4 linked regions of the Drosophila melanogaster genome follow. The gene in region 2 interacts genetically with the main gene of each other region. Each region holds a gene or a part of one and is shown on either strand. Other genes may lie near its edges. The genes, in order: su(Hw), ct, mod(mdg4) and mam.

The links.
Region 1: of ct (region 2) and su(Hw), changing one suppresses a phenotype caused by changing the other (phenotypic suppression), as found in Drosophila melanogaster (7 studies listed by BioGRID).
Region 3: of ct (region 2) and mod(mdg4), changing one suppresses a phenotype caused by changing the other (phenotypic suppression), as found in Drosophila melanogaster (7 studies listed by BioGRID).
Region 4: of ct (region 2) and mam, changing one enhances a phenotype caused by changing the other (phenotypic enhancement), as found in Drosophila melanogaster (2 studies listed by BioGRID).

What each region holds. Positions count from the first base shown.
Region 1 is NT_033777.3:14,302,598-14,311,687, reverse strand, and holds su(Hw) (suppressor of hairy wing), read left to right. Parts: upstream 1-3,098; 5' UTR 3,099-3,412; intron 3,413-3,479; exon of another isoform or gene 3,480-3,653; intron 3,654-3,717; 5' UTR 3,718-3,732; coding exon 3,733-4,590; intron 4,591-4,656; coding exon 4,657-5,084; intron 5,085-5,141; coding exon 5,142-5,274; intron 5,275-5,344; coding exon 5,345-5,535; intron 5,536-5,603; coding exon 5,604-5,728; intron 5,729-5,789; coding exon 5,790-6,880; 3' UTR 6,881-7,233; downstream 7,234-9,090. Other genes in the region: CG31321 (uncharacterized protein), read right to left, coding at 749-1,172; Polr2I (RNA polymerase II subunit I), read right to left, coding at 2,112-2,501; IFT54 (intraflagellar transport 54), read right to left, coding at 7,278-8,228, 8,294-8,856, 8,916-9,033. UniProt on the Drosophila melanogaster protein: Component of the gypsy chromatin insulator complex which is required for the function of the gypsy chromatin insulator and other endogenous chromatin insulators.
Region 2 is NC_004354.4:7,605,483-7,612,914, reverse strand, and holds the start of ct (cut), read right to left. Parts: upstream 3,768-7,432; 5' UTR 3,500-3,767; coding exon 3,377-3,499; intron 1-3,376. UniProt on the Drosophila melanogaster protein: Regulator of cell fate decisions in multiple lineages. Specifically, functions as a determination factor that specifies sensory organ identity in precursor cells. Probably also involved in cell type specification of Malpighian tubules.
Region 3 is NT_033777.3:21,372,752-21,379,795, forward strand, and holds the start of mod(mdg4) (modifier of mdg4), read right to left. Parts: upstream 4,651-7,044; 5' UTR 4,537-4,650; intron 4,326-4,536; 5' UTR 4,282-4,325; coding exon 4,068-4,281; intron 3,991-4,067; coding exon 3,851-3,990; intron 3,162-3,850; coding exon 2,309-3,161; intron 825-2,308; exon of another isoform or gene 330-824; coding exon of another isoform or gene 1-329. Other genes in the region: tin (tinman), read left to right, coding at 6,496-6,680. UniProt on the Drosophila melanogaster protein: Component of the gypsy chromatin insulator complex which is required for the function of the gypsy chromatin insulator and other endogenous chromatin insulators.
Region 4 is NT_033778.4:13,987,883-13,995,175, reverse strand, and holds the start of mam (mastermind), read right to left. Parts: upstream 3,974-7,293; 5' UTR 3,684-3,973; intron 3,199-3,683; 5' UTR 3,072-3,198; intron 1-3,071. Other genes in the region: RN-tre (uncharacterized protein), read left to right, coding at 5,340-5,491, 5,552-6,233, 6,293-6,678, 6,739-6,803.

The sequences.
Region 1 (9,090 bases), on a different chromosome or scaffold from region 2:
GAATTCCGCGCAGCTCTATGCAAATGACATATTCGGATGGCGTTTATTCTAAAAATTGGGAATATAAGCTATTATCTATGGCTCAAACAAAGTGCCATTGACAATGGCTCTATGAGCCCACGAAAGTCACTCAGCGCACAACGATGTAAGGAACAGGTTTGGAGCGATTGCGATTACGATTACTAGGTATCCACTAGGCTGAGGTCTTTGGAAGCGGCTCCAAATTAATCACCCGGCAATAGCGATAGAATGGGGGAATTTTTGTTAGCACCATCAGAAGACAGAAGGCGAAGGAGAAACTTATGAGCGAATCGATTAAAGAAGGTAATTAGATGTTCGGATAACCGCTAATTTCCGACGACATCCATCAAAAGACACGGATTCCTTCAGAAAAAAATGTGCACTCAAAGAAAATGTGTATATATAGCTATTCCATTTCAATTTAAAGAAAGTTCTCTAAGATATTTACAATCTTATGCTTGAGTAAAGTATCTCAATGTCTTTCTAGTCCCATTATCACTTGATAATACTATTATTTTTCGAGTGTACCTAACCCATTCGAGGGGCAGGGGAAATTTAAAATGCAGAGGAGTCGAGATGTGAAAAGAATTCGAATTTAATTTAAGCACAAACCTGAAATATAAGCAATGCTAATGCCAAACCCATAACCGAAATCAAAACGGCGTATACTTAATGAACGACTCGTGTTATGTGTATGATATATGTGTATGTTTGTCGCCTGGCTTACCCATGGGAGCTCGTTTCCCGGAGACATCTGCCGCCAGGATCTGTGCCTCCAGTTCCGCCTTGCACACCGTGTAGTTGAAGCCAGTGGCTCCGATGACAAGGTCAGCGAGATCCGGCGTCGCGCCCTGTGTGGTGTTCTCGAAATCAAAGTCATCGCACTCGATGCCCAGCTCCGATTTGTCCAGCATTGTGTCGCAGACGATCTTGTTGTAGCCGAGATTCACGCGACACGCCTTGTCCAGTGGGAAATTCTGCATGGCCACCGCATTGAACACGGAGGCCATGAAGTAGAAAAAGAAGAAGGGCTCGATGACCAGATAGTGGCGATAGCGCCACAGTTTCTGGAAATAGTTGAGCTTGGGCTCTGCATCCACTGCTCCACTGCCATTTCCAGCCGCATCTGCCGATGACCTTGGCTTTGCCATTTTTTTATAGCACTTGCTGAATTCCTCAAAACTCTTATTTTTTATACGATTCTATTCGATTCGATACGTCTCTGGCTCGGCAGGTTGCTCTAGCAGCACATTTTAAGCGATTTGATCAACACGTCGCGCCAGGTTCTAAGCTCAGACTAAACTAAGCGACGATTCCGGGGATCGGGCCAAGCCAAGCCAGGTCTACTACTCAAATACTCAAATGGGCAGTCGTTTGATACGCACAAGAAACTTGTTCAATCATTTCTTCGTCGCTTTCGGTTCTTATTTTTTTTATTTATTTTGTTTGTTGTCAGCTTCGATTAGAGCAGAACAATGATAAATATGAAGAATTGTCACCGGGCCGTGAACTGTGGAATTCGCACATGCCTCGGGGAGATTCGTTGCTCGCTCAGTTTTACATTCATAGATTGTCAGTCATAGTACACATTCATTTATAAATAAATAATGAAGACATTTGAATACAAGCGGGCTGACTTGATTAAGTTTATAACTATGAAATCTGGTTTTGCAGTTTATGTTGCCTAAATATGCAGCTTAACCTGCTAAATTTTATCATAAACCCGGAACACTTTCGTTGTTTTCTCAACTGCACTTGAACATTTGATCATTGAAATTAAGTAGTTTTGCCAAAACATATAGTAAGATGATACAGCAGTTTTCTCGCAATGAACTTATATATTTATTTTTAAGACTGAGCTATTTAAACATTTATACAAACCAAATCGAAGTTCTTGCAAGTGATTCAAAGTCATGCGGATCACATGCATTTTTTTTCAGTGCGAATGTTATTACATTAGGCGACAACCGAGAATGGAGCTGCACGTGGGATGTTTTTGCGGCATAGCCATGGGGGAATTCCAATTGTACGATTGCAAAGTGCCTTCGATTACTTAGGGCTACAATTAGAGGCAGATGGGTCGTCAGTTTCTACTCCGTCCAACGGTGGGTGCAGTTCTGGTTGGTGCACACGTAGTACAGTCGCATCTCCTCTTCGGCGCGACGAGTTTGCGCCTGGAAGAAGACCGCCTCCCGATGGGAGCACTTGGGACAAGCGTGGTCTTCGGTGCGCGGCAGCGTGGGATCGGAAATCACGTCGGGCACAATGTGGGTCAGCTCGTCGATCTCGTGCATAATCTTGTTCACGTAGATGCAGTTGGAGTCCGCCTCCTGTTTGTAATCGCAATTCCGGCAGGCGTACAGCAGGATCTTGTTCTCCTTGTCCTCCTTGGGGTACAGCATGTTGTTGCACTCCTGGCAGAACCGAATGCCCACGAATCCCGGCCCCTCAGTGTGTGCGGCATCAAAGGCAGTCGTCATGGCTATTGGCTTACAATTATTGCTAGTTAATTGCAATTTGTGAGTTAATGCGGCTTTTATTTACCTTTTTATCGTTGCAATTGGCGAAAGTGTGACCGTGGCAAGGCGGCTTAAATATACCGAGATCATGGGATAGGTATACCTCATTAACATACTAGCCTTTAACCCTTGTGAGCACTGCTATTTTAATTATATGCTTATATATTTTGTTTTTTATTTTATCAAAATGCATATTAAAGAATGCATTTATTTGTATTTTATTCAATTACTTTTTGTATAAAATGTTAAACCTGATAATTATCTTACCGAGCAACGGCTGCGGTGGCCTTCGACTGAAATTATATATAAATAGTGAAATGTTCCATATAAGCTTTATTGTTCGGATCATTAATCTATGCTTACAAAGTTAACCAATAAAAAGTTAATATAATATTAAGCCAGACACCGGCTATTTATTTTAAATTTATGTTGGAATTATTACAAATTTACAACCCAGAAGATTCAAAACAGAGGAAATTTCTTTGTACTTTTCATGGCGGCATGTTCAGATTATTTTTTCACGGGTTGTTGTAATTAATGGTATTTTCCAACCTACATGCAACGGTCACACTGAATTTTCATACACAAACGCTTGTCGTGTTGGAATTTAAAGCATAAAATTAGGTAAATTGTGATTTATTATCGGAAATGCGGTCAAAACCCTTTAAGGAACGCATCCCGTGATATGAGGACATGTTTGTGAAGCAAATACCTTAGCCAGTGACTTGATAATTTCACGCTCTTTATCGGCGATGGCAGTCACTTTCTTTCGCTGCGGAGCAGAAAAGTGCACTTCTAATCAGCAAAATAAGTGGTTAAAACCGATCCTCCACGTCCTTCGCCGGCACAAAATCACATTAAATATTTGAAAAGTATGCTACGGATTTGCGAGTGTATTAGAATTATTTGCTACCCCTTTGAAATACAATTTTATTTCAGAAGAAAACTTGTTGCGTTTTCTGTGCGTCAGGCGCAGGTAGTGTTGTCTCGCTCACACCAAGGCCGATCGATCGTAAAGATCGAACAGCGCGACGCCATTTTTTCTTAGCAGCTTTTGGGCGTGTGTTGGTGACGCTGGCAAAATGTGATGTTCAGTAAATCACGTGCCTAAAAGTAGACTAAAGCGGTCACTGGTTATCCTGATCCTGAATTATCATCCAATCGATCTTAATTGCAGGCTGGTATCACCAACATGAGTGCCTCCAAGGAGGGCAAGGAAAAGAAGGGCAAGCTGCTGGGTGTGGAAAACATTTCGCCGCCTAAGGACAAACGTCCCGCCACCAGGATGAAGCTCTTGAATGACGTGGGAGCTGGTGAGGATTCGGAGGCAAGCACTACTACTACCACATCAAGAACTCCCTCCAACAAGCAGGAGAAGCGTGGCAGTGTCGCTGGATCGCGCATCAAAATACTCAATGAAGAAATACTGGGCACTCCGAAAACTGAGAAACGGGGCGCCACAAAGAGCACAGCTCCGGCTGCTTCCACTGTGAAGATTCTGAACGAGAAAAAGACACCCAGTGCTACCGTGACAGCCGTGGAAACTACCAAGATCAAGACGTCTCCCAGTAAAAGAAAGAAAATGGAGCACTATGTACTTCAGGCTGTGAAATCAGAAAATACCAAGGCGGACACCACGGTTACCGTGGTCACCGAAGAAGATGACACCATTGATTTCATTCTAGCGGATGATGAGGAAGTAGTTCCGGGCAGAATAGAAAATAACAACGGCCAGGAGATCGTTGTCACCGAGGACGATGAGGATCTAGGGGAGGATGGTGATGAGGACGGTGAAGACTCCTCAGGCAAGGGCAACTCTAGCCAGACAAAGATCAAGGAGATCGTGGAGCATGTGTGTGGCAAATGCTACAAGACCTTCCGTCGCGTTCAGAGTCTGAAAAAGCATCTAGAGTTCTGTCGCTATGACAGTGGGTATCATTTGCGCAAAGCCGACATGCTTAAGAACCTGGAGAAGATCGAGAAGGATGCCGTGGTGATGGAGAAGAAGGACATATGCTTCTGCTGCAGCGAAAGTTACGACACCTTCCATGTAAGTCATAAAGATTGATACCAAGAGAAGTAAGCATAACTTTCGCATACCACATTTTCCTTTCAGCTGGGTCACATTAACTGTCCCGACTGCCCCAAGTCGTTTAAGACACAGACCAGTTACGAACGCCACATTTTCATCACTCACTCCGAGTTCAGCGATTTTCCTTGCTCCATTTGCAATGCCAACTTGCGCAGCGAGGCCTTGTTGGCGCTCCACGAGGAACAGCACAAGTCACGTGGCAAGCCGTATGCATGCAAGATCTGCGGCAAGGACTTCACCCGCTCGTACCACTTGAAGCGCCACCAGAAGTACTCATCGTGCTCATCGAACGAGACCGATACCATGAGCTGCAAGGTGTGCGATCGTGTCTTCTATCGGCTGGACAACCTGCGATCGCATTTGAAGCAGCATTTGGGTACACAGGTGGTTAAAAAGCCGGAGTACATGTGCCACACGTGCAAGAATTGTTTCTACAGCCTGTCCACGCTGAAGTAGGTTTTCTAATTGATTTTAAAAGACATAAAGTAATGTTCGGTATATTTTCGCAGCATTCACATACGCACTCATACGGGGGAGAAACCATTTGACTGCGATCTTTGCGACAAGAAGTTTTCTGCATTGGTGGCCCTTAAAAAGCATCGACGCTATCACACTGGCGAGAAACCATACAGTTGCACTGTGGTTAGTCTTAAAACTTCCGTAACTTTTCATTTAACCTATTGTAACAATGCGGTATTCTATTACCTTTTAGTGCAACCAAGCATTTGCCGTAAAGGAAGTGCTCAATCGTCACATGAAACGGCACACTGGAGAGCGTCCGCACAAGTGTGATGAATGTGGCAAGAGTTTTATCCAGGCCACCCAGCTGCGCACCCATTCCAAAACCCATATTCGCCCCTTTCCCTGTGAGCAATGCGACGAAAAATTCAAAACAGAGAAACAGTAAGATATTAAAAAACCTTTTATCTTTTCTGTTAGCCCTACTTACTTATTGCAATTTTGTTTCGCAGACTTGAGCGCCATGTGAAGACCCATTCTCGCACAAAACGCCCCGTCTTTTCCTGCGCCGAGTGCAAGCGTAATTTCCGCACTCCAGCATTGCTCAAGGAGCATATGGACGAGGGAAAACACAGCCGTAAGTTGGAATCGACAATTGGCAATAATCAAGGCTTTAATCCCGCTCCTACCCTTTGTAGCGAAACAACAACGGTCATCAATGCGATCGGCCGTCAAAATTATGGAACGCACGGATTGCGCCATTTGCGATAAGAACTTTGACAGCAGCGATACCCTGCGACGGCACATACGCACCGTTCACGAATGCGATCCGGATGACATTTTTGGCGTTGAGCCGCATCCATCAAAGCGGGCAAAGAAGGACATCGAATCGGAGGAGGTTGTACCAGTGGCGTTAAACACATCGGCGGGCTCGTTAATTTCTAGCCAAACGGACGGGAATGGCGTTGTGGTGCGTGAATTCCTCGTGGACGAAGGCGATGGCGCGGCCCAGACCATTACACTAGAAAACGAAACATACACAATTCTGCCCCTGGACGGGGCCATCGAGGGAGAGCAGCTGACGGATGAGGCTGGCGTTAAGCCCGAGGCGAAGAAGGAGGAGGCGCAGGTCTCGCCGGTGGTAAAGAAAGAGCAGCGTAAATCCCTGGCCGCCAGTCTGGCCGCTGCCATCGCAGATAATTTGGAAGAATCATGTAGCGAGGATGACTTCAGTGGCGAAATTCTAACTGAGGAGGACATAAAGCTCAAAGAGAATGTGGGTAAACTTATTGATATGCTAGTGGATCCACCGATCCTAAAGAAATACGGCTGGCCCAATGCCCCCGAGGAGACGGTGCTCTGCAAAGTGATCGAGAACTGTGGCCACGACCTAACCAAAGGTGGCGAAAACTACGCTGAGCTTGACTACGGTAGCCGCATGCGAGAGTACTGCAAACTGCTCTTTACCGTGGTCATTCACAACGATTCCATCAAGTCGCTGCTCAATAATTTCCCCATCGACGATGTGATCGAATATGTACTGGGAGATGAGGATCAGGACGAAGGTGGATTGGACAAAGACAATGAGTCACATTCAGGTGATGAAGAAGCGGTGTCGGTCACAGGCGAAACTAAAACAAATGAAATCAGAGAGAAACCGGAAAAGAAGGAAGTTTCGGCGAAATCTGAAAAGAAGGAGATCGTGGGGAAAGCTGTGGATAAGGATAACTCAGAGGAGGTGGTCCGGGAAAATAAGAAAAAACCTGTAGGCGAACAAGAGAAAGCTTGATTTTCCAGCCCTTGATGCATGCGTACAATTACCGCACAAAAACCATATTCTAGGAATTGATCGTTGATGATTTTTACAACATTTGTATTTTTAAGATCGTTGGTTTTGGTACAAACACCAAGTGACCTTAAAAGAGAAACTTACCGTCTGTTGCTTGAATATTCAGACATCTTGCGCATTGACAAATTACCCAAAAACAAACAAACCAACATATTACATATCAAAGATATTTTGATATTATTATATAGATTTTATATATTTTTGAATTGAATGATGTTACCAAGCAATATATGCATGGCTATTTTTATAGTACTCTTATTAATTATAAAATATACAAATTCAATATTTTCGATAAAACTCTCTTGAATTTTTAACAATGCTTATTAATCCTCAATGCTTACTGTTCCATCATCAACTTCAGAATACGTGCGTTGTTTTGCAAGATCTTGTGGCGACTCTCGTCGATTAGCTCCCGGTACTCCGCAATGCTGGCTTGGATTTGCTGCAACTGATGCTGCAGGGGCTCCGTGGCAGATGCCGTGAGAGTCTGCTCCCTTTTTAGTTCCGTGGATGCCTGCGTGTAGGTGTCGCGCCACATCGTAAGCTCCAGCTGCATTGCATCAAAATCCTCGGGTATGCAGTCCAGTAGTTTACCCAGCGGACCTATCGACTTGGTGAGCTTTTGGACTACGTCGCGTACGTCGTTCACCTGGCGCGCAGAAGTTTGTCGGCCTGCCTGTGCTGGAGGCGGTTCCACTTCGGCGCCTTGATTGACCAGTTCCTTTTGCGTTTCCAAGATCTGCTGCACCAATCGTCCCTGGGCATCGAGCTGTCCTTCCAATGCCGGTTCGTCACCGCCACCTTCGACAATATCATGGGCGGCGGAATCTTCTATGATCACCAGGTTCTCTCCGTCGTCGTCCAAGTCGCCAAAGGTTTCAAGCTTTACATTTATGCCCGACATTTTGATCTGATCGTTTGGCTGGAGCACGATCTCCACATTGCGACGTCGTGGAGCTCCGGGACGTGCGGAGGCGGGTCGAGCGGATGGAGGTCTAAGTGAGGTTCTGGGCCGTTGATTCACTTCCTTAGAGTTCTCTCTGGTGAGGGGAACCTCCCGCTTCGCTTCGCCGCTGTTGGTCTCCGGTGGAGAGCTGGTTTCTGACGACTGCACCGCTGGCTGGGATTGGCTCTCATTGGGAATGGGATTAGGTTCCGGTTGCCTGTGGCTGCCACTAGAACGGCGACTTCTGCTAGAGGATTTGCGACTCTCAGGCTCAGCTGGTGGAGCAGTTGGAGTTTCCTGGACAGGTCTCACCACTGCCTCCTTCTCTTTTAATGGAGGAACCTGTTTGGGTATACGCATAACTTATGGATTTCTAATTTTAAAGCAAATTAACTTATTTTTCTTACCATTTCCGGCTCTGGTTTGCTTGGAGCACTTTCGCTTGCAGCAGGCTTGGTTGATCCTTCTTCCACTGGCGACATAGACTGGCTAAGATTATCGCTCTCTGTTGAAGGCTGCAGTTTGGCTTTGGACTTCTGCTTAACTGGTGACGGACTCTTTTGCTTCGAGTTTTGTCGACTTAACTTCGTCTCATCCTTGGGTGCCTTGGACTTCTTCTGGGATGCTTTATCCTTCTCGGTGGGGGGAGTAGAACGGGACACCTGTTCTTTGACCTTGCGCAGCTTCTGCTCTTGAGGCGATATACGTTTCTCCTTGCGTCGCTTTGCATCCTCATCCTTGCCGGCGGGTGAGGGATTTTTGCTTGAATTTTTAGTTTCCTTCGGTGGCTTGGTAAGCGTCAGTGGTGTTTTGCTGTGGGAAATCACCACCTGATCCACAATGCTGTCCCACTCCAAGTTCTTTTCCGCAACACTGGCCATCGCCTGGAGGAGCTCATTGGTGAGCTCCGGTTCCTGGCCAGCAACTATTTTTGAAGTGCGTACTTTGAGATCCAGTTTGGTTGTTAGTTCTGCGAAAGCAAACACCTTGTAGCTAATTCAGAGCACCAGCATTGTAAGCCAAACTCACTGGTTGCATCGATCATCTTCTGCAGAAATCGAATCTTATCCTCCCGACTGGTTATGTTCTCGAACATCTGCTCTTCCGGCGTGTATAATCCATCAAATGTGCCACTTTGCTTGATAAACTGTCCACAAATGAGGCTCAACTTTCAATCTTTTTATAGGGGTGAGGGATTTCCAAC
Region 2 (7,432 bases):
TAGTTCAGATCGAGTTCGAGTTCTCGGGTTCAGATCGCCATCTCCACCCACCCACCACAAGCTTTTAATTGTTCGATTTTCATTTCGATTCGTCTCGTTTCGTTTCGTTCGGTTCGTATAGTATAGTATAGTATGGTATAGTATAGTATCGTTTCGATTCGTTCGTCGCATTTTGTTATAGATACTATGTATGTGTACCGATGTGGATGTGATGGACATTTCGGTTTCTGTTTTTGCTGCTGCTGCTGCCGATGCCGCTTCTGTTTTAATTTCCGTGCTGACAAATTAATTTAATTATATTAACATATCTTTCCAGCGATCGAACGATTGAACTGACTGAAATATTTTCATATACCATGCGTGTGTGTCTACATACATATGTATGCATCTGTGTGCTGTGTGGGTGGTTGAATTCGGTCTGTGATTCTTGGTATAACCCCTTTTTCAAACACCCCCCCCCCCCCATTCATCCACGTTTCGGTTTCTGTGACTCATTAGCTGGCTTCTCTGCCAGAGAGCGAGTAAATTGCACTTAAAACGCTAAAAATTATACGACACACGCCGCCGCTCAGTCCACCGATCTGATCTCTATCTGTATACTGTATCTGGCAATATGGTATCTATGGTTTGGTATAGCATGGTATGATATCGTATATGTGTACAAGGTATCCGTGTGCTTCCAAGGGCTTAAGGGACAACCCTTGGCTGCTCATTTTCGGCATATGCAAATGCCGGGACGCCATCTTTGAAAATTAAACTTTATAAACTATCAATGCTCGTCCCCGGTATTCCGCATTTCGTATTTTATATCCGTATCTGCATCTGTGATGGTGCTATGGTGGTGGTGACTACCCTATAAACCGGTTTCAATTCGATTAAAACGGAACCCAAACTCGATTTACTCTCATCTTTTCAATTCAACTTTTCTATTTTTTTTTTTTTAATATTTTTTAAGTCAGCAAATGCATTTGGCAATTAGTTCGGTTTTGTTGTCTTTCCATTTCCATCTTTTTTTTTTCTAGTTTGAATCAGCACAAATCAATGACAAAAACCTCATCTTTCATCTAGTTTTCGGTTTATGGTTTTTCGGATTTCGGTAATTGTAGAAGCTAAACAAAAAATCTGTTCGATGTTAATGGGTCAAGTTTATAGATTGCATTACGGAAATTAATTTTGCTCTTTTTAACTTTTGGTTCTTCTTTGGCTTCTGCTTTTTGTTCTTGCACTTGTTTTTTTTTTCAATTTTTTGTGATCGTTTTTTCGGTGCCACCGTTCTATATATTTAATGACAAAACTTTGTGTTAATCAAGCACATTTTTATTGTTGCTTTTTCGAATTCGATTTGTGTCAATTTTTTCGCGCGCGCTCTGTTCTTGAAATGTAAATAAATAAATAAGTGAAATACTATAAAAATTGTTTTATCAACTCATTTGGACAGCTGTAGACGTCTGTCTGCGGTTTGTTTAATTTATTTAATAAGCTTCTATTTTTGGTTGGCAAATTTAGTTATGTTGAATAACCTTTTTTTCTGCCGCAGAGAAATGGTATTTATGGATCGAGTTCTAATTTTGTTTTGTTGATCAGCATGCGAAGGCATGACGAAACCTTTCAAATATTGATTCATTGATCACAATCGATCATTGGTTGAGGGATCTTGAAAGTTATAGAAGACTTGAAGCTTTTGAAAGCCATTAAATGATCGTTAGGAAAGAGGAAAAAAGAACCCAAAACAGTGGCGCCTTTAGATGGGGTTTTGTGTTTTCGTTTAGGCCGCCAACACTATGCTCTATCACTATGTACATATCTAACATTTAAATATAACAAGCAAATGCATTTAATTAAATAAAAACCGGTTCTATTTGAGATCAGCAAAGCCCCATTCATAAAATCCTGTGTACACCACTGACTTCAAGTAATCCTAACGAGTTCTGCGGCTTCTCATCTTTTTGCCTTTGTTGTGGTTCTCCGGAAAAAGTCGATAGGATAGCTTTTGGTTTTGCTTATTTAAGTTTTATTGATTGCAGTTTGCATCGCCATATCTTGTACAAAAATATTTGTGGAGCGGGAAAAAACGCCATTCACCGACGGCAAATGTCTAGATTTTCCGGGAATTTTTCCATGTCTGTCTTTCACTGTGCGCGTCTCTCGCTTTTCACGATCAATCGAAGAAGAAACTCCAATTAAAAAATTTGCCCGGCTGTCGACGCAACCTAATTAACTTGCCAAACCATATAGAGAGTATTTTTATATATAGAAATATTCAAAAATATATACAGCAGTTGATATTTCCATGTCTGGTCTGGCAGATGATTTTCTTTTCCCCTTTTTGGCCTCTAATGTTATTTTGCCGCCTTATTTGTTCGGAGTCTGGCATTTGGCCAGCGAAATTCTCAGCATCGTCTGGCCCCCGCCTCCCGATTTTCCACGCCCCCTTTTACAGCGAAACCCCCATCTGAATTGTCTCTTCCGTCTGGCCGATCTTGTCTGGCTTTATCTTTTTCGGTTCACTGGTAGTAGAAAACAGAAAAAAAAACGCTTCAAAAAAAAAAAAAGTTATTCAAGCAATAAACTGTTCACTTATTACTTGCTTGTTGCACTTTGCATTTGTTGTTTTTGTTTTGTGCAAACAAATTTTTTTTCAGAAATCAATAATAGCAGAAAAAATAAATAAATTTACAACAAGAAATTAGACAACAATAACGGGCCAGCAACAATAAAAACACATTTGCCATAGACACGCAAACTCAATTAGTTAACTTAAGTTAAGTTAAGCAGTTTGCGGGGCCAAAATATGGGGGCTGTGTGGGGTTAAAGTGGGCGGCTGGGCGCACTAGGGTTATTGTTGTCAGCTGTGGGAGTTTCCAGTGAAATGCAACGAATATCACAGAACTCGGGAACTATTCACTGTTTAGTTACAATGATAATTGCAAATTTGTATATGACTTTTTAGTCTAATCAATGTATGGAAAGTTCTAATTTTAGCTTATAACGTTTTAAAGGCTTTCGGGCTTTTCGCGTTACGCTCCCTAAACTTTTCACTTTGAATACACAATACTGTATGAATCGAATTCATTTCATTCATATAAAGTTAGAAAACGCAAGTATCAAATTTTATGCTACATATAACAGGTGTAATTTCATCTTTTTGTTGACAAAAATAAGATACACCTTGCATGTAATATAAACGTAAGACTGTTTGTCAATGCGAATAAAAGTGAGAACAGAAGATAAAACACTTTTGCACCGAACATTTTACGAACCCGTAATCTCAGCTTGTTTGGCCAATTCATTGAACTATATTCATATTATTATTCTTGAAACACGAAACTTCTTGCTTTTAAGCACCGTTTTCCATCGTTTTGCTAACTTTTCTTACCTGTTGCCAAAACTGTGCCAATAAATAAATTTGCTCCTTTTTGAAAAACCAATCGTTGATTGATTGAACAGCCGTCAGATCCATATCGGCTGTCCCAGCGGCTTGTGGCAATGTTGGCTGCATTCGTGGGCTTTCTTGGGTTAATTCAATAATTCTCAGTCAGTTTTTGCTTAGGTTTTTTTGGGGTTTTCAGTTTTTGGATTCTACCAATTTGGGGCTAATAAGGCCTGGCATTATTCTGTTCTGTTGTCGTTTCGATTTTACTTGTTAGTTAGTTGTTATTTAATTCGGTTTTCGTTTTTAGTCATCACATTTACACCTTAAGTAGTATGTTTCTTGTTACGTGCTCAAAAAAATGCATAAATAAGCCAATTTCTGTGTGTTATTATTATTATTATTATGGTTATGTTATGTTTTATATTTTGTTCACTTTAGTTCCGAAAAAGAATTTTTTTTGATTTTTTTGGAAGGGGGTTTCTTCTTGTTGTTGTGTGGGGGATTTTGTTGTAGTCGTTTGTTGAATGGTGAGGGTATGATGTTGTTGTTTTGGTTGTTGCCTGTTGTTGTTGTGTGTGTGATTTTTTCAAGCCATTATCATTATGTTGTTGCTTTTTGGCTGTGGCTTATTTTGCACATGTTTGCTGTCGCTGTTGTTGCTTTTGATGTTGCTGTTGTTGTTTACACTTGACACTCATACACGCGCACATATTTTAGCGAACAAAAATGCACTTGAAAAAAATAATAAACAGTTATATTATACGTTCGTTTAGTCCTTTTTGATTTGTTTGGCTGTGTGCTGTTTTGTTTATAAATATGATCAATACGTTTCTTCTTCTTGGCAAGCGAGATTCATTCTTTTGCAATTATTTTTTTATGAATTTTTTGTATGAAGTGGGTGGGGGGATTCTTCTGCACACACACACACACGACGTACACACACAGTGAGAGAGAGGGGCACACACGCACACACACCCGCGCCGCGGCTAAGAAGAAGAAGCTGCACTGCCTTGTGGGGCAGTAGAATCCAAAAATCTTCTGAAATTCTCGATTTCTTTCGGCGACGGACGAACGAAACGACGTTGCCAGTCACGAATGCTGTTGATGACTGAACAAATCGAACGTTAACGAAGCGCCGACAACCCTCTGCCGCAGAGAGCGCCGACAGCGGCGTTGGCAGCGACAGAGGCGCCACAAACACACAACACACTCATGCAGCGCAACTCTCTCGCTCGCTCTCTCACGCTCCGCGCAAGAGAATCTCACTCAATTCCCGTGCACTGCTTTTGATTTCTTTCAATAGCTTTTTGATTTTCTCACTTTTTTTGCGCTTTCCTTCTCGGCTTTTTTTTTTACTCTTATTTTTGAGCATTTTTCTGCGCCGTCGCATGTCAGTTGCATGTATTGAAATTCATTCATTCACAGACACTTTGGCTAGTGCCCTCCCGCTCGCACATCGCTTTTCTTATTGGAAACGAAAGAGCCAGGCGCTCGCCTCTCTCCACTACTGCTTGTTGTTGTTGCTTATTGAGCGCAGGATTGAGTGCAACGTCGACTGTGACGCTGGCGGAGGGATTGAGATTGAGGATATTTCGGAAAGTTGTAATATTTTTTGGCTTTAGGGGGATTTACCTGGAATTCAAGTATTATTCTGAAACTGATAAGTTTTAAAGTTAAGAACTAAAGAACTAAAAGTTCCACGAGATAAGTCTTAGAATTAAAAGCAGCTGCTATATTCATCAAATGTTCGAACATAGTAAACAATAGTAGAAAGTGATGGAAATAAAAAAGTAAATACGAAGTGTAAATTAAGCTAAATGCAACAAACAATTCTATGTTTTGTTGTTTAATTTAATTTTTATGTTTTTTTTTAGAGGTAAATGTAACATTTAGAAACAATCTGTCCTTTCCAAATTTCCGCCACTTTATGATGCACCTTAAATTGCATTCCTAACTTAAGTCCCTTGGCTGGCTGTCTCTGTTCGGCTCTTCAAAAATCCATGGAATATTAAATTGGAGAGTAAGCCCCTTCTCAGCCTCCCGTTATTTTGTGTTTTTCCGCAAACCCCTGGAATTTGCAGTCCCGTTGCGGGATTTTCGCATAAAGAAAAGTTCAAATTGTATCGAAGCGCCAAGTGCAATGCAGACGCCCCCGACCCCCTTGGTATTCTCACTCCCTATTTTTCTACTAAACCCCATGATTTCTGCTGGGCGGGGAGGGGCGATGTGGTTGGGATTTTCCAAGGGGTTATGGCTTACACCTAAACTGAGACTGAGAACCCAAGTCGCAGTCGCAGATGCGTTGCTGCAGTCTGAGAGGAAAATCGGTTGAAAAGCGGTTAGGATTTGGGTGGAAAATTGTTGGTAAATGGGGTGTACGGGGAATATTGGGGGCTTGGATCTGCTCGGGGACTTCGTCGTCGGCTTGCAAAATAACGAAAATAACGGGAGAGCCGAGAGAAAGGGCAGCGCCAACTACACGAAGACAAAAAACGATGCTCGGTTCCGCCGTCGGCGTCGAAAAATGTACTCACCCCGAAAAAAATACTCATTTCATTTTATTGCTCCTAGTTTACCCCCAACTGCCAACCCACCCACAAAGGTGAGGGAATTTAGCCACACATTATTGGGGAAACCAATAAGGGATTTTTATATAATTTCGTTAATACATACATTATGCCATTATATACAAAAATGCAATATACAAGTATTCAATATATGGTTCTTACAAATTTAAAAAAATTATCACTGCATGTTATAATTATCATGAAAAAAAATGACTGATGAAATTCGTAAAAGTAATGAAGTACAAAGAAAGATTCGTTCTTAAAAATGACAAGACGAGAAATATTAAAATATACATACATACTATGCAATATTACAAATTATAAGTGCATTGAAGACCCCTACAAATCGCCCATATAGAAACAAGTGTCCGCCAACCAGCAGAATTCCAACTGGATTAAAAACGGCGGAATTCAAGAAACCACTCAATCCAAATACTCACAAGATATTCACTCACTCGCTCTCCTGTCTTTGAGTCGAAAATGCAAGGGGTTCGAACTCGTTTTCGAAATACTTTCGAACTTCCATCAAGACATCCAACTTATTAAAAGTTGATTACCTTACCTGTTCTATGTTATGTTTTATGTTTTTAAGCTATTTATGTTCTTGATTTGCTTTATAAATATCTATTATTGTTTGGATTTGCTAAACATACTGTAAATTTCCAGGACATTTAATAAAAATTCATTTTCATTGAAGAGGATGCAAGATGTTGACTCAGTTTCCGGTAGTAAGAATAGTTCTTATATTAATGGATAGATTTTTGGTTTAACCGGTTTTTTTTTAACAAACAAGTTTTATAATTTAATGACAATTAATGTTTTTTTATTAAAAATAATTGAATCAAACATATTAAATAAGAATTTAAAAAAACTAAAACTAGCTCAAGCCCCAAAAAGCACTCATATAGACAAGCGCTCTCGATTTTCGATAATTCGCATAATAAAAACCAAATCGCACACACATAGCCAAGTGTCACATAAAAAGTCGAAGAAGAAAAGCCGTGGCAGAGACGCCGACTGAGGCAGCGGCAGTAGCAGAGGGCAAGAGACTGACAAAAAAAGAAGAAAAAAGCGAAGCAAACGATTTAAGCCCCGCCCCATTTGATTGGCGAGCAAAAAGAAAAGCAGAAATACAGAAAAGCAGACGACGACAACGTCAATGGACAACACACATACTCATGTATGTCACACGTGTGCGACTGTGTGCGGCTCTGCTGCCGTCGACGTCGACGTCGCAGCTACCTGCGAGGGGCATCCAATATCTGTTGCTCTCCCCAAAACTTAAAAACATCAACAAGGAATTATGAAGTTTGTAAAGAAACTTAAATAATAAAATTTTAAGATAAACAAAATTTACGGATTTTGTTAGAAACCAAAGCAAAATGGTGAAATGGATTAAGTATAGACTTAAAAATATACATGCGAATTACAAAATCACAAAAATTTCTGATCCAAATAGAATCAATCTGACATAAAAACGGGAAAGTAATTT
Region 3 (7,044 bases), on a different chromosome or scaffold from region 2:
AGTCACAATGATGTTGCTACTGCCCAGATACTGTGATATCTTTGGGTTCGACGTGCAGATCTCGATGTACTCCTCCAGTTCCTGCTCCACCTTATACAGTTGTCGCTGGCCAATCCTCGAGGCGTGGGACTCGTGATTGTGCTGACGTCGTGCGTCGATGAAGTGTCCGTCGCGGGTGATGACCACCGCCTTGCAGCGCAGCTTGAGCACATCCGCACAGCGCCAGGTCGTCTGTCCATTGGCCTGGGTGAGCTTCTTGTTGTAGATGTAGTTGCGGAACACCAGCTGGGCGTTCTTCTTCTGGCTGCGAATGAAACTGATCTCCGTATCTGCGAGAGTCGAGGAAAACCGAAAGCATGGGGTTTAGTGGGCATAATATAATTGACAGATGATCTAGTTGCTATTCTAGTGAATGTACATATATGGCTTAAGCGTTAAGTTAGGATCGGCGAAATAAAACAACGTTTAGTTTAGACTTTGGCTTTAAGCAGTTTATTCGCAATCAGTGAACCGGAGGACCCTTGGGTTTGGTGGTAGAAAACTTACCAAAATGCGGCGGGATGGCATTTTACAACTTACGGTAGCATTTGCATCGCTTGGTTTTCAAATAAGCACTATCACAGATTATCAAAAGGGTGGAAATAGGGAGGCGTTGCCCCCCTTACCAGCCCCATCACTTTAAATATTAAATAAACACCACACCAAACACACCGTCACAAGCTGGAAATAATTAATTGTGAACAAATAGGCCGTGTAATTCGGATGCAATAAAATAACAAAACAAATTGGCTTGCATTTTTTTAATGAATTTGCACGGCGTTGCCACACAGCCGAAGCACCAGGGCTGCACATTCAATTAGGGTTTCCGGAAGTGGCAACACCGTCCTCAATTTCCACAAAATGGCAACTCCGCATTAATTCAAATTTTAATTCTTTATTTTTTCATACTACAAATATATATATAATATATTCTGTGGATACTTTCTAAATATCCGGACCAGGCGCGCAAAATATAAATTACACGATTCAAACGTTAATATAAATTTTCTCAAATACGCTTAACAATAAAAAAACGAAAATTACTACTACAAATAAAGGAAATATAAGTCGGAAATGCTTCAAGGCGGTCCAACCTTTTGTTCCAAGGTATATAAACTATCGCCTATATGAATTAAAACGGTTTATGATTATCTCTTACCAATTAGGTAAGAGGTCTAGTATATTCTGTTTTTTTTGTTTAAGGTTACCGCGACATCCGTAAATATCGTGAAATTCTTCAGACACCCTTTAATTCGGAACCATATAAAAAAAACACGCAAAATGTTCCATACAAAAAATTTGGAATGAAAAAACAAAATCAGCACGCAAAAAGTAAAACAGAATCGACGCTGCATGAAGAAATAAATTTCCTCTCCACTGATAACGTTAAAAGAGTCTCCCTATACGTATTATTAAAATCTTTCCTTTTTTTTTTACGTGACCACTAAAACGATTAGAAATGAACCTTTACTATAACACAGCGTTATAAATACAATTTTTTTTTTAAGACTCGGCAATCAATGCCGTTGCTGGATTTGCATCAGCAAGCTTTTACGTTGCTTAAACAAATCCAGACAACATCTTTAAGTACGAGTTTGAAAACATAAATAACAACAAACCTCAGTAGCCTTAGCATCACCAGAGGATCATTATTAAACAGAAATGCGCATGCCCAAATAATAACCCCCTGATCATGTAAGATTGAAAACTCCAATTACTCGCTTTGCTCAGTCAAATAAACAATTACAAATGCCTGCAAATTTTGGAAAAATATATGGATAGGTGTGGTTTTAAGAGTGCCGGTATTACCTTGAGTAGTTGCAGCTCTTCACGGGTTCGGCTTCACGTTGACATCAGATATCCATCGTAGCAGCTTCTTAAAATTTCATCACTCTACTTACCTTTTAACTGAATAAGTGTAAAACCGCGCGATCTCCGTCCAGCATTTAACAAATATGCATCGGACAGCAGATCTGCCTAGTGCTCTTTGTCGATTCGAAATAGAACACAGGCCCGTAAACTACTTATTAACTAATGGCCAGCGAAGTATAGCTTAAGTTTGTTCAAAACAAAATTAAACGCACTTTGCCGAACTCTAAAAGGACATGATCCGCTTGCGACGCTAATAGATTTGGAAAGTGTTCAAGTTTGGAATACATATGTGATCTTTTTTTTAACGTGTTTGCATTTCGCAAGCGGACTTAATGTCCTTTAAATATTGCTTATATCTATTGGCCTCTGGCCATGTATGCTTTGCAATTCAACCAACCTTGAGCCTCTGTGTTGCCCTGATCCCCGCTGGTGTCGACAAACGATGATTCACTGTAGTTCTGGGACTGTTGCTTGACCACAGCCTTGGAAGTGGTCGCCGTCACTCCGCCACCGCTCGTATTTGCCGCAGTCTGGTTGCCAGCATCCTCGTTTTCAGTGAAGTAGCTGTCGTCGTAGCGCATGTCTCCGTAAGTATCGTCCTCCACATAGGTGCCCTCGGCATCGCCGGCGGCGTCGCCATGGTCCTCAGAGTAGTCAGGTTCAGATTTCGTGGGCAATTCCATGGGGAGATCAATGTACTCGGCTTCCTCCTGTCGAACCTGCTGCGGCGATTGCTGGTGGAGCTTTGCTTCTGCCGCAGAGACCACAGAGGTTTGCACGGTGATCTGTTGCGGCACAAGTTGGGCGGTTGTCGTGGCTCCAGTTTCAGTGGTCGAGTCGAGAGGGTCCATAACATTTGCGGAGGTGCTTGTCTTGGAGCGCTTTACGCCGGCGCTCGAGGAGGCGGGGGTCAGGGAGGAGCGCTGGGCAGAGCGTTTGTTTGTCGACACCAGCGTCGCCGTCGTCGTGGTTCCCGTCTGCAGCTGCTGCGATTGGATCTGCTGCGCCGCCTGCTGCGGTTGCTGCTGTTGTACAATGGTGGCTTGGGGTGCGGCCGTGGTCTGGATGACGATCTGGGTGGTGCTCTGTTTCTCGTCGCCCAGGCCGTCGTCCACGGTCTCGATCTTGTAGCGGGCGGAGGCGCGAGGCTGCTGGCGCTGCACCCGCTGAGCCGGTATTTGCTGTTGTTGTACATGAGGTGCTGCTGGCGGCGGGCTGGATTCCTGCGGCGGCTGAGGCGCAGGATCGTTCTGAAAAAAAAATATTGGTTTTTTAATTATTAACATATATTTTAGGAATAAGTGAAAAGATATTTTGTATGTTCTAGCACCTCTTTAAAAATGAACCACGATCAAAACTTAATAAACTTTAAAAGTATCTGCATTTAATAAAATGGACGATTTCAAAACTATATGTTGAAAAGAATTATTCCGTTAGAATGGAATTTGCAAAGAAATAAGAAATCTGGCCATTAATTAGTAAAGTACGCCTTCCTTGAATTGGGAAACAATAATACATTTTCTAGTTCCGATGCCTGTTTCTTTAGGTACAGCTGCACTAAATTTAATTTTGCAAATACGTTAATTTTAGTCGAAAACATTAAGAGATATTTCCCAATTTAAACATTAGTTTAAAAGCAAAAAATGTTTATGCTTTGGCATCGAATTCGCTGCGAGACAAAAACAACCACTCCAATTTGCCGCTGCCGTGCGAGCCAGAGCGAGACAAACGCTTCGCGTATAGCCCCTGCAGTTGTCTCTCTCTGGCACGCGTGCCTTTTGGCATTTGGTTTGCGAGAAATTTCTCGGTACAGTCAAACCATGCTCTTATACAGACGCCAGCCATCGCGTCTGTATGTATTGGGCGCGAAAGGTTGCGTTGTAGTTGCTCGATTCGATATACCAGTATATCACGCACACAAATGTATACATATACTCACATCCGTTAGCCCCTTGATTTGCAGCGATTCCGCGGTGCTAATAAACGCGGGCAGGGCGTCCTGCTTCACGTTGACCTCGCCGCAGTACATGAATTGGATGAGGTCCTTCAGCGCCGAGTGGCTGACGTTGTTCAGGAATACTGCAAGATAGGCGAAGAGAGTATAAGGTAAAAAATCACGTAGAGCTACAGATCTGAGCTGAGGGGCACAAACTCACCGATAGCGTGGGTGTTCGACGGCATCTGAGTGAACATCTTGCGGAAGAAGGGCGAGCAGACGGATAACACCAATCGGTGGGCCTTCACTATTTGGCCCTCGGCGGCCAGCGAGACGTCCACCAGGTCGCCGCGGCATAGCGACTCGTGGAAGCCGGCCGACAAATTCGTGTTGAAGTTGTTCCAGCACAAGCTGAATTGCTCGTCGTCCGCCATCTTGGACGAAAATCAATACTTTTCTGTATCTATGCGTTTGTTGGCTGCAGGCGAAAAAGTGCAATGCGCGTTTAAAACTCAATGCAGCGAGTGCTGAAAAATGGCAAAGGCACACACAAAATAGAATGCACTGCAGCCAAAAAAAACTGGGAAATTTTCACGCGTCTGTCTGTGTGTGCGTGTGTGTAAATTACATTTATCTCGCTTAATGACCGCAACCTACTGTGTATATTCACTTGGGGCGCCATTACTCACCTCTTGACTAAATATTTTTCCAATAAAATAACTAACTAAAGCCAGAGTTTTTTGCTAGCGCGGCCGACACGCAGAACGCGTCCGAGTTCTTTGACGTGAAAATTAGAAGTGTTACCAGGCGACGAGATTGCTGGCGATGGCAAAACAAAAAGTGACAATATATCGATAGCTTAAAATATTTATATCGAAATACTTTTATGAATATTGATAGTTGATGTGCTTTGATATTTTTTTTTTAAATGTTAGTACGAAAATCACATAATTAAGTTCATAACTTTTTGAAAACTTTTACATACTTTAGTTTACATATGCTGTAGGATTTTAGTTTGCGGGTGTGTTAAAAAAGGTTGTAGGACTAAGAAAATATCGGCCTAAGTATACGATGTATTTATGTTATGACGAAATTTCTTATTTCACAACAGTTTTGTTGTCTAGCTTAATGTTTAATTTATTTTAAATGAAATAAAACAAAATACAAATTAACGAGTTTAAAGACTAGCAGTCAAACTAGCACAACTAGAATAAAATTCATAAGATAAACAGAAAAATTTTAACTTTTTTAAATTCTCCTATTTTTTAAACTGGGCCTTCGATTTTTTACGAATGGAGGATTATTTTCTAGCGGAATTCATTATAACTCTGACAAACTCTTATGGAGCGCATCGTCACTACGTAAACCCTACACTCTGAATGCACAAGGGCACTATATTTTTAAAAAAAAAGTGACTTAATAGGATTATAAGAAAGGCAAATATTCGCTAAAAGTTCTTAAACATACCAAACAAAATATGTATGTACATAATATGTATATCTGTGTACTGTATGTACATATGCACTACATATGCAATTATATACATATGTGAACACGTTTTTGGTGCAATGCCAAGATTCGAAATGAAGGTATTCATCCCATAAAGGCGAAATATTATTAAAAATGTTGCTCTATTTAGACAACTTCACATATCCATGTTATTCATCTCTATTAAATCATAACAGTTTCAAGTGAAATAAACAATAATATATGAGAGCGTAACGTTTAAACCAAACATATTCCCCACGATTTATTTATTTGTTAGCTTAGTACACTCTTAAAATCAAGTGTGCGAAAATCTGCACTTGAGCGCCACTTGACAACCGTTTAATACACAAGACGCGCGGACAAACGTAAATACATGGGGACTATAAAACTTAAGGACTTTACGATAATAAATACGGATACTTAAGCTCAAGTAGCGAAACAAAATCAGCATAAAGTGGCTGCGAACAAACAACTAATAACAACGGGGAGCAGCTGGAGGAGTCGGTTATTGAATCTGATAGTCAGGTACAATGTGTGCGATTGTGCAAAGATACTTTCATACATGCATACAAGCATACATGTTTGGAATTAGTGATGGACAGAACTTAAAATATATTGTCAATACCATATATATTCTTAAGCTATTAGATTAAATTTACAAATGTAATACATAAATTAGTTTTTTATATTTGGATACATATTTTATAAATCTCCTAAGCATATGACAGCCTCGCACATCTCTAGCGCAGAAGAGCGAGATGCCGCACTCGCATTCCGATGCTGTGCTGTGATTGGCTCCGGGGCGGCCATTTTGCCCGTATGCTCAGTTCGCTCACACACATCCAAAAACACAGTGGCATGAGGCGGTCTGGGGTGAAAGGAGTACGCGTTCAGTACCAAAATCGAGCTGACAAATTGCAGACACGGTCGAGTGCGCATCGGAACGGCGCTTTACGGCTTACGGGTTACGGACTACTGATTGCCGATTACGGGCTACGACTCACTTACGGTTGCGCTAACGGTTGCGTGGAGTGTTTGCTCGATTACTGGACTACCGAGATTCCAATTCAAGTGTCGCAAGTTCAAGTGCGATTTGGCAAATTGTTGGACTTATTTAAATCGAAGTGCTTCTCAAGTGGCCAAGTGATCGCACAGCGAGGATGTTGCAGCACCATCAGCAGCAGGCTCAATCGGGTGGCTACTACGATCACTACACTCAGTCCCCCAGTCCGGGCAGCCTGACGAACGCGGATGCCCTGAACACCACTCCATTTTCGGTCAAGGATATCCTGAACATGGTCAACCAAACGGAGGCCTACGAAGGTTCCTACGGGCATATCGATGGGTAAGCTTGGAAGTTTTGAATCAATTATACATTAAGGGTCAAAAGCAACTAAAAATTGGGGTACACCAATAGACTAGTTCCAAGGTACTGTGTTCTACATGTTACCAAAATCTACTAAATCGAATCAGTGTACATATATGATATAAAACTAATTATTATACCGGTTAACTATCTAAATTGCAATGATTTAAGAAGGTATCTGTGCAGTTCAGAGAGAGACCAACTGTTAGTTGAGCCATTTTTAGCTATCAACTGGCATACATGGACATTTCCACCACTTCTACCTGTCAGTGACTTCTTCTCGAAGACAGCGCCCTTCCCCGTCCCGATCGCTTTTATTTATTTTTATTTAATAGGGCTCCAT
Region 4 (7,293 bases), on a different chromosome or scaffold from region 2:
CCTAACCTTATACGAAATGAATACTGCGATTTGAAGAAATGCGCATATATATTTCCCGGCTATCAATTTCAAATAAAACTTTCAGTACCAGGAGCCACAAATGCTTAAGTAAATTGATATCCGCAACTTTGGTCGAAGTAGCAAGTGCAGCTGGCACCACGAATGTTGCCGCGGCAGCAACATTCGCGGCAACATTTACAGCAGCGCAGCAGCAGCCAGAGATGCAGTGGCAGCAACAGCGGCAACATGTACAGCGGCAACAGCAGCAAGTTGTGGCAGCAGCGAAACAGGCGATAAGGAAGAAAGCATAGGCGGCCAATGCGAATGGGGGAAAATGGCTGGAAAACCGGTGCAGAAATGCCAGTCGCCGTCGCCATCGTCTGTGCCTGCGTCTCGGGCTTTCGCGAAAGATTCGCTTGAGTGTTGCTGGTGCAACAACTTGCAACATGCGGCCACTGCACACAATCGTGCGGTGAATGCAGCTGAGCGCCTGCTACAATGCAGCGACCGAACACCTGGAATGGGGCATCCACTTTCGGGATAGCCCGGACTATCCAGCCACAGACACAGCTCCAGCTGCAGCGCCATCCGAAAGAGTCCCATCGTCAACACCCCTCCCCAAAATACGATTCCCAAGTTCCATCTGCACTCGCATTCCCAGTGTCTCAGGTTGCGATTGCCCGCTTTTGAGGGCTGTTTTGCGGCAGCAGGGATGTTTCACTCGAGGGTTGGGATTCCAGATATATTGGGTATTGGGCCCAAAGCCCAAGCACACGAAACGAAAAATAAAACAGCAAACTGTGGGTGAGGCCGCGCTGCTGCACAGGAGAAAAACCCGAAAAAACAAGCGTACAACAAAAGCTCAGCCAAAGCGGAAACCTGTTTTGGCCATCGAGCAAAGTGAGTTGAGTGAGCAAAGAGTTAAGTTGAGCAGCAGCATTGACCCCAACTGACTCAACGACAAAATATGCCACAGAAAAGGACGGCATTAGAGCGTCGAACAGAGATGGCAGACGCACAGAAGGAGATGGAGTTGAAGACTGGAGCCTCGGGAGATCTCTCGTATCCGAATAAATGCAGAACATGGTGCGAAATATTTAATACAAAAATGTTGAAAAGGAGTTTGGCCTGACAAAATAAAGCACCACACTAAACCATGTACAGTGAAATGTTGATAACTTAAACTGGGATTACTGCATATGTTATTCTTTGCATAAGCTGACCTTAGAAAAACATTACCCTGTTTCTTAAATGGAGAAAGTAATGGAGGAGCTTTTAAAAATTTCAACATCAACATATATATACTACAGTTATTTTTTATTTAATCAAATCCACAAATTCACACCCGGAATGAAATTTTTTTTATTTCAAGAATTTTAAGATTGAAATGGTATGCATTTATTTTCTTCTTATTGTAGTTTTTTAACTTAAGTGAAATAAGGCTTATGTTATATGGATTCAAAAATGAATGAATACAGGAAATTCCATGGCGCGCAGTTCGCGATACGGAGGCAAACCTGTAGCAGCCAACTGCAGCAGACGAAGCGAGGTGAGGCCAAGTAAACCTGTTTACAGTTCAAACTTCGCATTCGATATATTCGATGTGAACTCTTTTTTGTTGTGCCATAGTAGGTATGTTCGTCTGGCAGGTTCTGGGGCTGCTTCTTCTTGGCCAACCGAGTTGTTTTAAGCCACCTACGAAGTCGAAGCTTAGGCCGGGTTATCTTCAGCTTAATTGGGTCATTCACACGCGCCACTTGCTCGTCGATAGAGATGGATATACGGCTCCAGAGGGAGATAAAGATACAGCTGGAGACACTGCTGAAAAACACACACAACTTTTTCAGCCTAGCAACAACTTCCGGTGTCTCAAAGACGAAACGAACAAGAAACTAAAGACGAGGCATACATTACATGTTAGACCACTCGAAGACGTACATATGCGAAGACGGGGGCAAAACAAACGGCGGCGAACAGAGGGAGATACATGTATGTAAAAAAAAAAAAAGGAAAGGCAAATAATACTGTTTATCAAGTGATGAAAAGCATTTAAAATGTCGAGTATGCCAGGTATTGTGTTTAAATGCATGCCCTTCGTCGCATTTCGGTTGGAATGCATCTGATATTGGTAAGGAGAATGTTCAAAAGACATAAGCTGAATGCTGTTAATAATTTTAAAAATATTTAAGCAATAAATGCATATATTGCATAATGGCATTAAAACAAAAGGCAATACAGAATTCTTTATTTGAATATTTATTTTGATTTTTGGAGTTACAAAAAACTAACGATAATAATATAAGATGGAATGTTTCGTATACAAAATACAAATAATAAGATCCAAAAGAAATTTATAAATCAATCTTAAAAAACTCTTTAATATTCGAAAGAATTAAAATTCTTCTTTCCCCAAAAATATATATTGAAATATTTCTCGAATTGGTTTTAAAAAAGAAAATTCTAGTATCTTATAGATTGAAGTAACGAAACAACGGTAGATCTCTCCCACACTCAATCTTTTCTACCTACAAGGATCAAACGAAATCAAAGGATCAACGTTGAAGAAGAAGCAGAGAGAGAGAAAGAAAGAATCAAAGACAGGGCAAAAACAAAGTCATCAGTCCAAAGACAAAGGCAAATAAATGGAGAGACAAAAGAGACGGCCATAAAAACTCAACCGACAACTTCTGGATGTGCGAAAGGGACGGCAAGGGTAGAGCGAGAGGTGTGTGCATCCATCATTTTCTAGGCGATGCAAGCAAAAGCAATAGCAACAACCACAACAAACTGCAGTTTGGGCTTAGGAAATTATTTGGCAATTCCAAAGCCTCGAAAAACTGGTCTTGATCCATTTTTAAAAGCCGAGCTTTGACTCAAGCTCCCCTCAAACATAAAAACATCAATCATGCGAAGTTCTACACGAAAAGCGCTTCAAGGTCTTATCAACATGAGAAGAGAAAAAAAGGCATATGAAAACCCGAAATAGAACTGGTTTTGAAATGCAAAAAGCCACCCACACGAAACTAAAACGCTATAAACTAATTAGGCGATAAGAGACTTAACTTACTTACCCAGAAGCTGTGCTGATAATCCAACTTGATTTTGATTTCCTTTGATTTGCTATTTGCTATTTTCCATTTGTTATTACTGTTGTTATTTCAACTTAGCATTTATCCAATGCTTTGAATTTTAATCCAACTGCAACAACAACAAGAACGGCACAATTTTATTAGCTGGCCAATGCAACAACAATCAAAAGAGCAGAAACTCTCCGCTCTCCTCTCTCGATGTCTTCGTGTATGTGCAAAAATCAAAACAAAACACGGCAAAAACACTTATAACTCAAAGAGAGCGAATGAGAGAATGAGAAAGAGAGTGATCCGCTTTGCTTTTGTTTTAGTTTTTAGTGACTGCAACATGTTGAATGTGTTTACTCTTGCCCTAACGGTAAATGCTAGAGCTGCAGTTTAAAAATCCTCTGCTCGTCTCGAATTGAAAATCAAAAATTTACACGCGGCAATTTTCTTTTGCATCACAAAATCCACAATCACTCACACGCACACACAAACACACATATATATATATATATATATATATATATATATATATAAACGCACACCTTTAAAAAGGACGCTGTTGAGGGTTGCATTTTATGTTAAACATAATATTAATTATTTGCTTACTTTTATCTCACAATGCACTCTTAGAAATTTCCACTGTTATGTTATTCATGTGTTTGCATAAAACTGGAGAAATTAAACACGGTATCTCAACAAAAATAAAAGAAAGCCGCCAACAAAATCGGTTATGTTTGACTTCTTTTCACTTTGATATACACCTTAATTCATTTGCTTGTTCAATTAGCATGCACTCCTTAGTTATTTGGTACAGTGTATTTTTTACGAGAGTTCTCGACAATTTTCGAGCGCTAAAACAAAGAAACCGCGCTCGATGATAAAAACCGCGTCCGACTGCCGCTGTTTTTTTGTTGTTTTGAGAGGCGCTAGTGGTGGAACGATGGCTGGGAAAACATCGATAACGCTATCGATCAAGCGATTACTTATCCTTCTGTTGCTGACGATGTTTTCCAGTTGAATGTATGGCAGCACTGCTTATTTAGTCACAAAAATTATATTTGAATTAAAAAGCCGATTTTGTTATCAAGAAATAAATTTTGAAGTGAAAATGTTTTCCACAAATGTTTTAATTCATTAAGTGCCACTTGTCGCAATTAAGTAACTGAATAGGTTTTAAATAATAAGTAAATAAATATCATTGTTAAATATTTATAAATGAGCATTCATTTGCAGCTTTAAATAGATAAACATTTTACATATTTGTACATTGACATCACAAACATTTCAACTAAAATTTAAACTCGTATAACATTACGCTAAAGTATCGCTTAAATATTGGCTCGCATCCCTGGTACTCTTGTTACGTTACGTTATTCGGCAATTACATCAGTCTGGCAACTCTGGCCCTCACACACACTCAGTCGCCCCCCAAATGTATCGGAAACATGCAGCCGAGATAAAATAGTGAAAAACTAGTTACCAAACATAACCGATCAGTGCGGATAATAAGAATTGGCAATTCAAAATTAAATGGTAAACGAACGTCGGCGCGATTAATTAAACTCAACCATAGGAACGCGGAGAGAGTGGCCAGTGAAAGCCAGAACACTCTCTTTCGTCGGAGCGTCTGTGTGTGTGTGTGTTACGTGTGTGCGTATGTGTCTGTGTTGACAAAATACAACAAATCGCAGCGAAAACAGGAAGTGTACGAACGATAAAGCATAAGATTGCACATTTCGCATTAAAATAGGCGACAAAAACCCGGGGGCGCATGCAGATCCACACATTTCTGGCCCACTCACACTCACACAACGCAGATCAGGGGGCGTTTTTCTAGATCAGTGACCAAGTCTTATATGGCTTTATGTTTTGATGCTGCACTAAATATGGGTGAAACATCACGTCATTTATGCCACGCTCCTTCTCCAAAAACAAAGATCATGTTGATTTCACTGCATTTGAATATATATATATATATATACAATAGTTAATGTTCGTGTGCGTCATTCGCTCATCAGCTATATAGTATACGAGTGTTGTTATTGTGGATCGCTTTCGCATGTTAATGCTTTTGTGTGTTATTTTTTCCATTCCATTTTTTTTTTATCAAAGTTTCGCGCTATCGCCCAGTCAGCTCAGAAGCAGCCGCTCCCCAACTGAGAGCACAGAGAAACCAGCTCTGGCCACTTGCTCCTCCGGATCCGGCTCCTGCTCCTGTCCCCGATCCCCTCCCCCACCCGCCAAATCCTGATCCTGCTCCAAATGACTGACGGCGAACAGCAGGAGGCGCTGGTCAAGCGGGCCGAGGACGAGCGCGAGGACATCTTCCGGCGCTACGAACTCGGGCTGGATCCCAGCAATGTGGTGGACTCCTGGGAGAATCCCACCTTCGAGATCTACCACAGGACAGACAAGTGAGTAATATTAATCATTCGCCAGAAAAAATCCCAATAATGCCATTGATGCTCCCACAGATATGGCTTCTTGCACGACTCGCGGCTGCCGTCGACGCGTGATGCCCAGGAGGTGCATCGCAACAAGATTGAAATGGAGCGGGACAAAAAGTGGATGAAGATGCTAAATCAGTGGCCGCCGCCCCAGGATAAGCTGCACAAGCGCGTCTACAAGGGCATACCGGATCGCGTGCGTATGGTGGCCTGGAATAAGCTGCTCGACATCCAGCAATCGATAAACAACAATGCTGGCGTCTACCTCCGAATGCTGCAGCTGGCCAGGAAGTACTCCACGGAGACGCGACAAATCGATGCCGATGTGAATCGTCAGTTTCGCGACAATCTTGCCTTTCGCGAGCGCTACAGCGTAAAGCAGTGCTCGCTATTCAATGTGCTCAACGCCTATAGCATCTACAACTCGGAGCTGGGCTACTGCCAGGGCATGGCCTGTGTGGCTGGCGTGCTGTTGCTTTATTTGCACGAGGAGGAGGCTTTTTGGGCATTAAATACCCTGATAACAGACCAAAAATACGGCATGCACGGGCTGTTTATCGAGGGATTCCCGAAGCTGACGCGATTCATCGATCACCACGACCGCATCATGTCGAAAATAATGCGAAAACTACACAAGCACTTTACCAAACACAACGTTGACGCCCTGCTGTACGCTATTAAGTGGTTCTTTGTCGTCTTCGTGGAACGCGTATGTAAACCACAAGGTGTATTTATTACAAAAATACTTAATAGATCTGTTTTTTGCAGGTTCCTTTTAGTTTGAGTCTGCGCGTGTGGGATATATTCATGTTAGACGGCGATCGCGTCATACTGTCCATGGCCATCACCATTCTGTACCTTCACAAAGACGAACTATTGCGCCTGAAGGACATGGACGCCATCATTGAGTACTTGCAAGTACGGCTGCACAAGAACTTTGGCTACAGCGACGATGATGCCATTCAGGCTCTGGAACGCGTGATGAAGAAGCTGAAGGACCTCAAGTTGGATGTGCCGCCGCCAGCCAAGTCAAACGAGTTCCCCACCCGCAAACTAGGTGACTTCGTGGAGGCGGATATGGAGAAGAAGATCGGGCGCAGACGCAATGATTATACAGACGCGGAGAAGCAAGTCATAACAGATGTGATATCAAGGTGGGATCTCTTGGCGTTGTTAACGTTAACATATTTATAATAATTTTTTAACTTTATTAGACAAGAACAAAACGCGATCGACGTTCAGTCCACAGTGTCCTACGAGACTTCGGAGTGCGCAACGGGTGAGTCATGCGTCACACACAAGTCCTTACACTGTTTATCTACTAATCCTAATGCTTGCTTTAAACAATCCACTTACCCCACTTGCTGACTGTAACTATAATCTGCAATAATAATTGAAAATTTATTTCTTATTTTGTATTGTGTGGTGCAAGTTTATCACAAATTGTATGTATATATATCATGTATGTATGTATATGTAAACCGAAACACGAGCAGTTCCTCAAATCGAACTTGAATTGGTGTTGCCCTAGACTTAATCCTATGTACAAAGTCCTGTTTAGTTCTAGACTATGATATATGGCATATGTATTATGTTTGATTTGAGTAGCGATGTATAGTTTTCCTTTTGAGTATACGTTAAGATCGTAGCCACTTTCAGCGAGTCATCGTTGGCAGTCCAACCCAAATGCGTCACCATCTCGCTGGCCGAAGCATTAAACTAATTGAATAATATGCTAATATTGACCTTTTGCACGTTGGAGGGAACTA